Ovis aries: one gene and its partners. The protein of the gene in region 2 interacts with the protein of the main gene of each other region in a biochemical or structural test. Links are inferred from orthologs where the notes say so. Each region holds a gene or a part of one and is shown on either strand. Other genes may lie near its edges. The genes, in order: OIP5, MIS18A and MIS18BP1.

Region 1 (4,185 bases), on a different chromosome or scaffold from region 2:
ATAGTTCTTTATACTTCAGCCCCAACTGGTACCTGGGTACTGATTATTTTAATTAATTTAACTACTTAAAATATCTGTGAGGACTGATCTAAACATTCACTCAGTTTAAACACTACAGCTTGCAGAATAAATCTCCAGAATATACTTTAATATTATGTGGGAAAACTCCACTAAATATACAGAACAATATATACATCCAATCCAGAATTGAACATTTTCCCCCAAACGTTTCGCAGTATCAGAGTCAAAGACCTCATCGGTTTTGAATAGAACACTACCACAACAATGACCAATAGACGAACGATCCTACTGAATCAGAGCTAACTTAATAAAAACTTATCCACGGGGGAGGTTCCCTAAAAATCATCCTTTCTTCCGTCCTCCATTCAAGTAGCAGGAAATTTTGGGACCTCTTACAATTAACAGAACTGTTAGCTGTTTGGAGTTTTCCAGAAGCAAAGGCAATTTAACAAAAGTGTGAGCTGTTTGGAGTTTTTCGCGACCGCCTATTAATTGGCGTTTAGATGCAGCATTCCTTTAGTTTTCTAAAGGGCCTGCCTTTCCTAACAGATGGACTGATAAATAGCAGAGTACTCCCAATAAAACCAAAGCAAACAATTTTGGAGGCGGGCATCTTTCTGAGTCCCTGTAAGAGTCAGCCTCAACAAAGGTGAAAACTTTGACACCCTCTCGGTTTTGCACAGTTACTTGGACCCTTGGGTAAACCAAAATCTACCGCCCCAAGGCCGGGACAGTCGCCTCAGCCCTCGAAATTCCCGCTCGGTCCCCTCCCACAGCGTCTCAAAGAAGCCGCATATCCTATCCCCCAGTCACCGGCCCCGTACCCTCAGGTTAGCCCGGAGGCCCAGGTTCTTGGCCAAGTTCTGCAGGTCACTGTACTTGAAGGAGTTCAGCTCCTCCAGGGAGGGAACGATCATGGCGAACTGCAATCCAGGTAACGACGCGGAGGCCCGATACTTAACTTGCTAAGGCGCCGCTCAACGCTCTGGCGCCACTCAAAGCGTTGAGCAAACCGGTATTTATAGAGAGTTTAAATTACGTAAGCTGCACTTCCATTGGTTACAAATCCGTTAAAGGCGGGGTCTTCTGGTACTGACCAATAGGATGGTTGACTTCCCTTCCACCTGACCCACGATCTTCTCCACACTGCCCTAACACCTAGGCGCCAAACGGCGTGTCCAGGCAACAAAGTGCGCGGCAGAGCCCCCGTTCACGTTGTCCAATGAGGACGCAGGAGCCAACTTGGGGTGGGGCCTAAATAGTCTTTGAAACGGTGGCGCCGGCTGCGGGAAGATGGCTGCTCGGCCGCGGAGGCATGTTTCTCGGATTGCAAAGCAGCCACGGGGTGACTTCTGTGATGGGACTAAGAAAGCGATTAATGAACCTTCTTTTGCGACTTCCATGGAGTGGGACACGCAGGTGGTGAAAGGGTCTTCGTCGGTCGGCCCCGCAGGGCTGGGGTTGGAGGAGCTGCCGTTCCGCCCGCGGCTGCCGCGATGGCTGCAGCCCGAGAGGTGCGCGGTGTTCCAGTGCGCGCAGTGCCACGCCGTGCTCGCTGACTCTGTGCATCTCGCCTGGGACCTCTCGCGGTCCCTCGGGGCCGTGGTCTTCTCCAGTGAGTGAGCGCGGCGCCTTCTCACTGGGTGACTGAGAGCAGCTGGGAGGAAAGCAGGATGAAAATTTGGAAGGAACTTAACTCCTTTGCTGGGGGGTTGGGGGGGGCGAATAACTTTTTACGATATTCGTGACCATGATGAGCTTTTCTGACTGAGAGAGGTTTTCCCTTTCAGTGCCTCACAGGTAGTCATTCTGACCTGTGTTTGCCTTTTAGGAGTCACAAATAATGTCGTTTTGGAGCCTCAGTTCCAAGTTGGCGTTGAAGGTTCGCTCAAAGGCAGGTACGTACTGAAAATTCCAGAACTGTCTCTAGTTATTCCCTGACTTATTGTGGTTGAAGAGCGTGGAACCGACTTGGACCAGAAGTTTTTTCCTATCTTCCACTAGGAGAAATGTCTGTTTCGTTCATACAGTGTACTTGAAGAATGCTCCGTTTACCTGATTGTCTTGTACGAACTTGATGTTTTAATGAAATGGCAAAGATACTTGTGTAAAGGTTTTAAGATCTTCTGAGGGCCACATTTCCCTCGTGGGTTGTGCAAGTGAAGTGAATTTAAGAAAATTAGGAGGGGAAAAAGGGAGAAAATTACCTTTAAGTGAATCACTTTTTATAAACTGCAATACTTTGACATAATAGGACATATACACTTGCATTACACCTGGAATTTGTAATAAACTACAGCGGGACTAATTCTGCTGTAACCTAGGAACCTGGAGAAAAACACAGGTTGAAAGTTAGGTCCTTGAATACTGCCTGGTGAACTTTGCATCGTATCTGTACTGTGATTTAGAAGTGACAACAAAGTACTCAGTGAATTCAGTACAGAGCTCCTCAATTTTCAGTGTTGATTTTAACAGCAAGACAATTCATTTTGACCATTGGTTGGTCCAGTTTTAGTGTTAAATAGAGTACGTTTAGGAATTCTTAGTTGCTGTACTCAGTAACCAGGAAGACTTCTGTAGCTCCTCTTTCCCAGCTGAAAGATTCCTTATCCTTCCAGGAGTGTCTACACACCCAAAGGAAACTGGGAAAGAGTGGTGGCCTGCTTGGAACTGGTTCATTTGGGGCCCGAGGCAGAAGCTCTTTGAATATCTTCTTAGAGAGAAGTACATCTAGCTAGATCTGTGCTGTCCAGTACTGTCACTTGTCACATGGTGGCTACTGAGCACTAAAAACGGTGGCCATTCTGAACTGAAATATGCTGAGTGCAAAATACACGTAAGATTTTGAAAATAGTCAAAAACATTGAATAATTTAGAAATATTGATTACATGGGTTTTGCTGTTGTTGATGTCGTTTTTTTGTTTGTTTTTGGCCCCACTGTACAGCTTGTGGGGTCTGAATTCCCAGACCAGGGAGCACATCTGGCCAGGGCAGTGAAAGTGCCCAATCTTAACCACTGGACCCCCAGGGAATTCCCTTGATTACATGTTGAAATGATGTCTTTGAATATTGGGTCACATAAAATATATTAAAACTAATTTCACTTGTTACTTTTACCCTTTTTTTTTAAACAAGACTAATAGAAGATATGAAACTACTTACATGGCTTGCATTCTTATAGAAAGTACAGATCTAGATGGCTTTTAAAACACTGGAGAGAAAGTTCGATGTATTTACGTTTTTGAAATAAGGAGAGCCATGGGATTCAGCAAGAAGAGATTTATTGTCAGGAATTGGTTCACTCGATTATGGAGGGTGAGAAGTTCCAAGAGCCATGGTTGACAAGCTGGAGACACAGGAAGGCCAAAGGTTTAGTTCTAGTCCAAGTCCACAGGCCTGAGACCCATGAGCCAAAGGTGCGACTTCCAAAAACACAGTATTGCGTGTGTAGTGTGGGACTTCATCTACCAATAAGTTTAGTGCGTTTGTTCCTTGGTCCTGTTTAGTGTCCATTGACATGAATTTGTTTATTTTTAGCCATGCAGTTATACTTTATTAGTACTGTTTTACTGCATAGTATATTATGTTTATACAAATAATTTTTCCCTCATTGAACCACTCTAAATCGCTTTTAGTACATGCACGACAGTTAATTTTTTCTTACAACATTTCTTTGTAATATTTAGATTTGTCTTATATACTAGCAAATAAGGTCAATCAGTTACTCAAATGGTTTAAATAGAACTAAAACCACATTTCTTTTAGAGGATAAAGGAAAATAAAGTAGATGACTTGCTAGGATCATAAAATTTCTTTCTTTTTCATTTTGTCTGGGAAATTGTTTTTGGTTACATCTGCAAAAAAATCCTGATTTGCATTCTATTAATAAATTGCTTAATAAGCCCTAGTCAACTTGATTGTTTTACTTCAACTGCAAATTGGCTTAATGGTGGCTAATTTATATGGTTATGTGTAGTTTTATATGTTTAAATGTTAATCTGATTAGTTAGCTCTTTTTCTGCTTTTCAGATATAAATTACTTTTGCAAAGTGACAGTTGTGTATCCATGATTGCTTTTGTAGCCAGAATTCACAAAGTTATCTGTAATCCAGTGTTCTTGCCTGGAGAATCCCAGGGACAGGAGAGCCTGGTGGGCTGCCTTC
Region 2 (3,652 bases):
GAGCATGGGCCCTAGGAGCTCGGGCTTTAGCACAGGCTTAGTTGCTCCACGGCATGTGGAATCTTCCTGGGCTAGGGATCGAACCCTTGTCCCCTGCATTGGCAGGTGGATTCTTATCCATTGTACCACCAAGGAAATCCAGCATACTCTCTGCTTTGTCACTTGTGTGCATGCTGTCTGTCACTGGATACTGAAGGCAGTGTGACCTGGAAGTGCTTTCAAATGTAAGCATCTTACTATCTTTTTTTTTTTCCTTTTTATACATAGGACCTAGTAGGGTCAGGGTAACATACTTCAGCAACTTAAACGTTTAGGTGTTTACAGATCTCAACAACGGGGTGTTTGTGGTAACCAGTCACTAAAGGGCGACGTTTCTTGTTGCAGCATCCTGCAGACTTTGTACTGCACAGGTTGTTCGCTCAGCCTCGGCTACCTGTACAGGTGCACACCCAAGGATCTAGACTACAAGAGGGACATGTTCTGCCTTAGTGTTGAAGCCATTGAAAGGTATGTTTGAGGCATACATGAATAGCTCATCGCTGAATTCTCAGAAAGTTGTTTGCAGACAAATTGGTATGAAAATTTGGAGACTAAACATTGTTTGGTTAAAATATGTTTTTAAATAATAATTTCTGACCCTAAAGCAAGTGATTTTTGTTGTTGTTTGGACCTGATTTATTTGCTATTGGAAAAGTCTGTTATGCTAAATTGTAAAAGAAAGCCCTGTGAGAACATTTTGTAGAGTAAAAATTTGCTGTTTTTCTTAATTAAATTTAGTTTAGTAGGATTTTTTTTAAAGCAATTATGTGTATCAATATATTTTGTCCATTTTATTTTTTCCTCTAGTTTTTAGTCTAGTATAATAACTTGAAAAAATAGGAATTTCAGAAATGGTTGGGAAAGAAGTCCCTTTGTTCTGGAAAAGTAGAAATGCAAAGTCCAGCTATTTCCTAGAGGACTGTAAATAACTGCCTGCTGTTTTGAGAGATGCAAGGAAGTACCTTCATTTTTCAAGACTTCTAAAAGGTGTTTGGCGAGAACGTGAATTAGGGTCTGATGACATATATCTTACTGACCCTTTAGTTCATTAACCTTTTAAAATTGGAAACAAAATTAATTGACCCCAATGTCTTTTCACTTATCCTGGAAATGATGTAACTCTCAAGACTTTAGAGATTGTTGTTTAGTAGCTCAGTCGTGTCCAACTCTTTATTAGCTCATAAACTGTAGCCTTCCAGGCTCTTTTGTCCATGAGATTCTCCAAGCAAGAATACTGGAGTGGGTTGCCATTTCCTTCTCCAGGGGATCTTCCTGACCCAGGGATCGAACCCGTATCTCCTGCATTGGTGGGTGGGTTCTTACCGCTGAGCCACCAGTTAGGTTTTCTTAGAGATGCCTAGGAAACCTTAAATATCAAGAAAGAAGGACAAAAGTGCCTACACTTTCATTACTTGAAGTATGTTGTCACTTTGTTGAATTTCTTAGATTTTCTCTTTAAAAAAATTTAGAATAGTGTTCTTTTTATTATAATTTTTCATTTAATTATTTTTTGATTACTACAGTTTTACCACCATCTTTGAAACTAGACAAGTTTGGATCAAAATTGTGAAATCTGCAAACTTTTTACAGCCTTTAACACAAGAGAATAATGTAGCAAGTACTGCTCATTGATGTAAAGCATGCAGGCCCACCTGGGGAGAGATCAGATCTGATTTGGTTTTAATATGTAAATAGAAGACTCATGCCCAAACAACTGCTCCCTTAATCTCCATGGGAATTTTACCAAGACTTGTGGAAATTATGTGGGGGAGAGGACAAGTATGAACGACATAAAATCTTAAACAAGTATGGTTGGCACAGAACTTTAAAAACGATCCATGTCTGTATTTCTGCACAGAGGATCCTAGTATCGAAGCTGTTCTTTCCCCAATAGTTGAATTTAAGGAAAAGTTACCTCATAGGGCAGAATTTAAATGACAGGGAACCAGGTGTGTTTTAGAAATGGATGCTGTCCGTAATGTTTATTTACAGCATTATAAATTAATCAGTGCCATTTAATTTTCCCCATCTCATTTTTCTTTTCTAAATAAGATATTAACTGCCTTCTGTAATTTTTCCTTTGATGACATTTTTTAGAAATTTAATCAATTAATCTTGGGTTTCCAACAGAAGACTGTTTATATTTAACAGAAGTGACGTACTGAAGTTGTTACACGTGGTGAAAGACTTCTAAAGAAATACAAACGAATGAAGGTTTTTATGTTTTGTTTTTTTCTTGAGAAATAACAGCACCTTCTCCACTGTTGAGATTTATTTGGTTGCCAGAGCTGGGCTTGTTTTCTTCCATTGCTAGGCCAGTTATATTTTCAAATTGTAGCATGTCATCTGGAGAAGGTGATGGCACCCCACTCCAGGACTCTTGCCTGGAAAATCCCATGGATGGAGGAGCCTGGTGGGCTGCAGTCCATGGGGTTGCTAAGAGTCGGACACGACTTCACGACTTCACTTTCATTTTCAGTTTCATGCATTGGAGAAGGAAATGGCAACCCACTCCAGTGTTCGTGCCTGGAGAATCCCAGGGACGGGGGAGCGTGGTAGGCTGCCGTCTGTGGGGTCTCACAGAGTCAGACATGACTGAAGCGACTTTGCAGCAGCAGCAGCATGTCATCACCTCAGAGAGCAGAGCAAAACATGAGTTATAAAATAACTGTTGAAGTTGCCGAAATCTAGGTAATCAACAATTGATGCTACAGATTACATACTAAAAGTCAAAACTTGAAAATACACAAAAACTTGAAAATGCACATGTTCTTGAAAAGTTACATAAAACAGTGGCTTCTTCAGGATCTTTTAAAACTTCAAAATGTTACTGTTGTACCACCCAGCTTACTAAAGAGCCAGTTTTATTCCCAATAATGAAATATAGCATTGAGAAATATGTAGAGTTCTTGGACAAAGCTGTTATGGAGAATAACATGATTTCATGTAGTTCAGCTTCCTATGTAGGTTTCTATTAACAAAAGTAATTGTTTTATGTGTTTACTCGGTACTAATATATACTTCAATATACTTTGAGTTTTAATGTTATCAATATAAACTTTATATTTACTCCCTTCTCATATTTTAACTTTGTATTGTACTGTACTTCAGTTATGTTTTAGGGTCATCTGAAAAGCAAATTGTGTCAGAAGACAAAGAGCTTTTTAATCTTGAAAGTAGAGTTGAAATAGAAAAATCTCTAAAGGAGGTAATTTTGTTCTGCACTTTTTGTATCTTTGTATAAACAACTTCCAGTCAATGACCAAGTGCTGCTCCATGAATAATTCTTAATTGTGTCTTCTCTTTTGATCTTAGCATTCATGGTGAGAGAGTGCTTATTTTATTTCAGTTGTTAGTAAAGTTGATTTACTGGGAACCAAACTACAAATTAAGCCAAAACTTTATGGAAAAAATTATAAAGACGTTCCATGCTAAATCAAAGCAGTATGTATTCTAAAACTATTAAAATAGAAATATATCTTTAAATCAGTATTTGATTTAATTTTCATGGTGAAAACAGCCTTGTTTTTGAATGTTAACATCCTGTCACAGGCAAGATAGTGGTGAATAAATGTAAAAGCTATGGATCAGAGGTTGAGAGCTGCTATTAATA
Region 3 (3,652 bases), on a different chromosome or scaffold from region 2:
CTAAATATTAACAAAAACCCAAAATGAACCTGTTAATGAGAGCAAAAGAGCTTATGCACTTTAAGAATGAGGGTGAAAACAAGTATTTATCTGCCTTAAAAGTTTTCCTACCTTAATTTTAACTCCATTTGTAATAGTTTGGCTTATACTTGGAGAAAGGTTCCAGGCATTTATTTTTGATCTCTGAGGTATTGTTATATGACATTGCGGAGTTGCAAGCACGATTTTACAAGTATCATTCAAGGAACCTGGAAAAGCAGTCTCTCTGTGCACTGTTCTCTCATTTCCTTCCTTAATTTCCTGTTTTGAAGTGCCTTCTGTTGTAATCTTACTATCACTAGAAACCAGTAATTGACCACCATTCTCAACATTATTACCACAAAGAGTCTCAACAGTGGTATTTGGGGACTTTTCACGGGTAGAATCAATGTCTTCTAAAATAAATGTTTCCTTTTGGGATTTATTGGTTGCAACTATATTCTCCTTTGAGTGAAGAATTTGTCTAGCCAGCTGAGCTCTAGTTAGTACCCTGTTTGCAGCTGCAACATTTTTACGTTCTTGATTCAGAACTGGAAGCTCTGCAAAAAATACAAAACCAAACAAAATTTACAGATGGTTAATACGAAATGAAAAGAGAACAAGAGAAAAATTTAAAACTTTGAATTGCCTATACAGGGAAAATAATTATCTAGAACATTTAACCATACATTCAAATAACAAACTAAAAACAAAACAAAAAGCACTTTACCATAAGTTAAATTGTGCAGAGGCACCTTCTTTTCCTGCTGATATGTAATCTTTTGCTTGACTGGCACAAAAATATTATTTGATGATTCCAGAGGAACTTCTTGGACTGAGGTTGAGTTTTCTTTTTTTAAAGAAAGAAGTTGTATTAGTCAATAAGAGAAAAAAATGCCTTTAAAACTCTTGGAATAAAGATTTAAATTTGGTAATGATCAGACCCACAGAGTATACTTAAATACATGACAGTTACATTGAGTTTTTGCCCTTTATTATTATCTCATATCTTCAATGCATTCTCTATACCTGTATTATGCTGAGAAAGAATTTTTTAAAAATTTCTCCGCATTACCTGCCAGCTCTAGACACAAGTATACTACTGGACTTAGACACCTAGAGATCTAGAATAAAATTCTAGTGCTGCCACAAATCAGATATGTATATGTCAAGGTCATATATCAAGCGCCATCCTGTCTTGAAAATTCTGATTTTGCTTCTGGTTCTGGAAATTTCTAAAATGTGGACGAACAGTTGTAACAGATTTAAAAATCAAAATGTTGAGATTCAGTAGCAGACTAAGTCATAATTTATACTGCTTTGACATCCCTTTAGCAGGTCTTCAAAGACACAAATTTGGTAGGCTTAATCACTAGACAAACAGGAACTAATTGCATTGTTTATATTTTATTCTGCTTTACATCCTAGATGGTTAAAGTTCTGTATCTTGAATATAGAAATGAGTTTCTTTCACATAAAAAGGGGAAGGTAATAAACTTAAAATTTGTACCAGAGAAGGAAAAACTGAATTATTTTATATGTTTAATTTCAAATATTATACTTGAAAAAACTGGTAGTGATTATACTTTAATATGTATGTTGCTTTGGCCTTACAAACCTCAATATAAAGATTTTATTATAATGATATGTCATATAAGGTAAGTTTCTATTTCTTTAAATCATTCTACTAGAAATGGCAGAGCAATGTAGTACAGATGAGTAGATAATTCAATCATATACAACATGGTACAGAACACAGGCCATTTATTTCAATTCAGGGATCCATGTAGGGACTCTCCAAAAGATCTCTGAAATTACATACAAAATCTGTGTTTGTATATATGTGTATTTTCTAGGAAGTCAGCAGATTCTTAAAGCAGTCAGTTGTTTCTTCCTTTCTCTAATCCCAGTTTACATATAAAACATGCCATAATGTACCTTATTTCTCTTGCTTCCCCCTTTTCTCTTAGACTGTATGAGATTATTTGTATATTCACCTACCTCCATCCTAAACTCCCTTAGAAAACCACTTTTGTGTCAAAATACATCACTGTCTTTGAAATACAACAATATACCCACAATCTATTATGTAGCAGTTAAGAGCATGAGCTTTCTAATAGATATGTGTATTTAATTCTCAGCTTATCACTTACTTACTACCTGTGAGACCCATGGTGCTGCTGCTACGGCTGCTGCTGCTGCTAAGTCACTTCAGTCGTCTGACTCTGTGCGACCCCATAGACGGCAGCCCATCCGGCTCCCCTGTCCCTGGGATTCTCCAGGCAAGAACGCTGGAGTGGGTTGCCATTTCCTTCTCCAATGCATGAAAGTGAAACGTGAAAGTGAAGTCGCTCAGTCATGTCCAACTCTTCGCGATCCCATGGACTGCAGGCTACCAGGCTCCTCCGTCCATGGGATTTTCCAGGCAAGAGTACTGGAGTGGAATGCCATTGACACAGAGCAGACGTCAATTTATTTAAAAGCTCCATTTCCTAGACAATTAAATGAGCATAAATCCATAGTGTTTGCTGAAAGGAGCAAATGAGATAATGCATGTAAAGTATCTTTTATCAATTACTGGCTTCTGAAGTTACCGTTTTGGTTTTTCTTCCTCATCGTCTCAGTGGCTTTCACTACTTTCTGCTCTTTATTCTAACTTCTAAATTTCAGGGTGCCCCAGAACTTATCCTTAAACGTTTTCTTTGAAAACATTTCAACATACACAGTTTTTTCAAGTATAATATACTTACTTCTTGATGATCCCATCTAATCTTATAGCTTTAAATACCATTTAGGTGCTAATGACTCCAAATGTATTTCTCAGGTAGGCCACTTCCCTAAATTCCAGCTAATTTTTTTCAACAGCCTAATTCACATCTACACTTCAGTATTTAACAGACATATCAAAATTGATATGACAAGAAACATAATTACTGAGTCCTCAAAACTATTCCACCTCTGTCTGCTCCACCTCAGTTAAACTGCTCCATTCTTCCAGTTGCTTGAGCAAAAAAAAAAAACCCAAACCAAACAAATCACCCAGGTCATCCTTTATACCTCTCTTATATTCCACACTCCCATCTCAACATATATCTGGAGGGACTTCCTTGGTGGTCCAGTGGCTAAGATTCCATGAACTCCCAACGCAGGGGGCCTGGGTTTGATCCCTGCTTAGGGAACTAGATCCCACATGCCAAAACTAAAAGATCACATGTGCCACAATTAAGACCCTGTGCAGCCAAATAAATAAATAAAATATTAAAACAAATTAACAACCCCCCTCCCCAACCCCCACCCTTGCCAAAACCAAAATCTATCTGGAATCCAGCAACTCTTTATCATCTCCACTGCTACCACCCGACCAAGCCAATGCCATCTCTCACCTGGAATACTAAAATAACTATTTCAAATTAACAGCTAGAGTGATACTTTTAAAATTTAAGTCAGACTGCGACATTCCTCTGCTCAAAACCCTCTAGTGGCTCCTTAATTTGCTCACAATAAAAACCCAAACCCTTATTTTACCTATGAGGCCCTTATAGGACCCTCCTAAAAGACACTTTATCTGACCCTCTCCTTATTTATCCCCTGCTCCCCAGCTGCCCACTCACTCCTTGGTAATCTCCTAGCTAGT

What was found.
Region 1: the proteins of MIS18A (region 2) and OIP5 form a complex in vitro, tested with the Homo sapiens proteins (3 studies listed by BioGRID). The link is inferred for Ovis aries from reciprocal best matches to the Homo sapiens genes MIS18A and OIP5.
Region 3: the proteins of MIS18A (region 2) and MIS18BP1 form a complex in vitro, tested with the Homo sapiens proteins (2 studies listed by BioGRID). The link is inferred for Ovis aries from reciprocal best matches to the Homo sapiens genes MIS18A and MIS18BP1.

Annotation. Positions count from the first base shown.
Region 1 is NC_056060.1:34,994,470-34,998,654, reverse strand, and holds the start of OIP5 (protein Mis18-beta), read left to right. Parts: upstream 1-1,306; 5' UTR 1,307-1,314; coding exon 1,315-1,636; intron 1,637-1,852; coding exon 1,853-1,919; intron 1,920-4,185. Other genes in the region: NUSAP1 (nucleolar and spindle-associated protein 1), read right to left, coding at 846-938. UniProt on the Homo sapiens protein: Required for recruitment of CENPA to centromeres and normal chromosome segregation during mitosis.
Region 2 is NC_056054.1:123,908,632-123,912,283, forward strand, and holds part of MIS18A (protein Mis18-alpha), read left to right. Parts: intron 1-384; coding exon 385-507; intron 508-2,169; coding exon of another isoform or gene 2,170-2,233; exon of another isoform or gene 2,234-3,132; intron 3,133-3,150; coding exon 3,151-3,247; intron 3,248-3,652. UniProt on the Homo sapiens protein: Required for recruitment of CENPA to centromeres and normal chromosome segregation during mitosis.
Region 3 is NC_056071.1:52,777,603-52,781,254, forward strand, and holds part of MIS18BP1 (mis18-binding protein 1), read right to left. Parts: intron 2,542-3,652; exon of another isoform or gene 2,192-2,541; coding exon of another isoform or gene 2,179-2,191; intron 869-2,178; coding exon 749-868; intron 579-748; coding exon 112-578; intron 1-111. UniProt on the Homo sapiens protein: Required for recruitment of CENPA to centromeres and normal chromosome segregation during mitosis.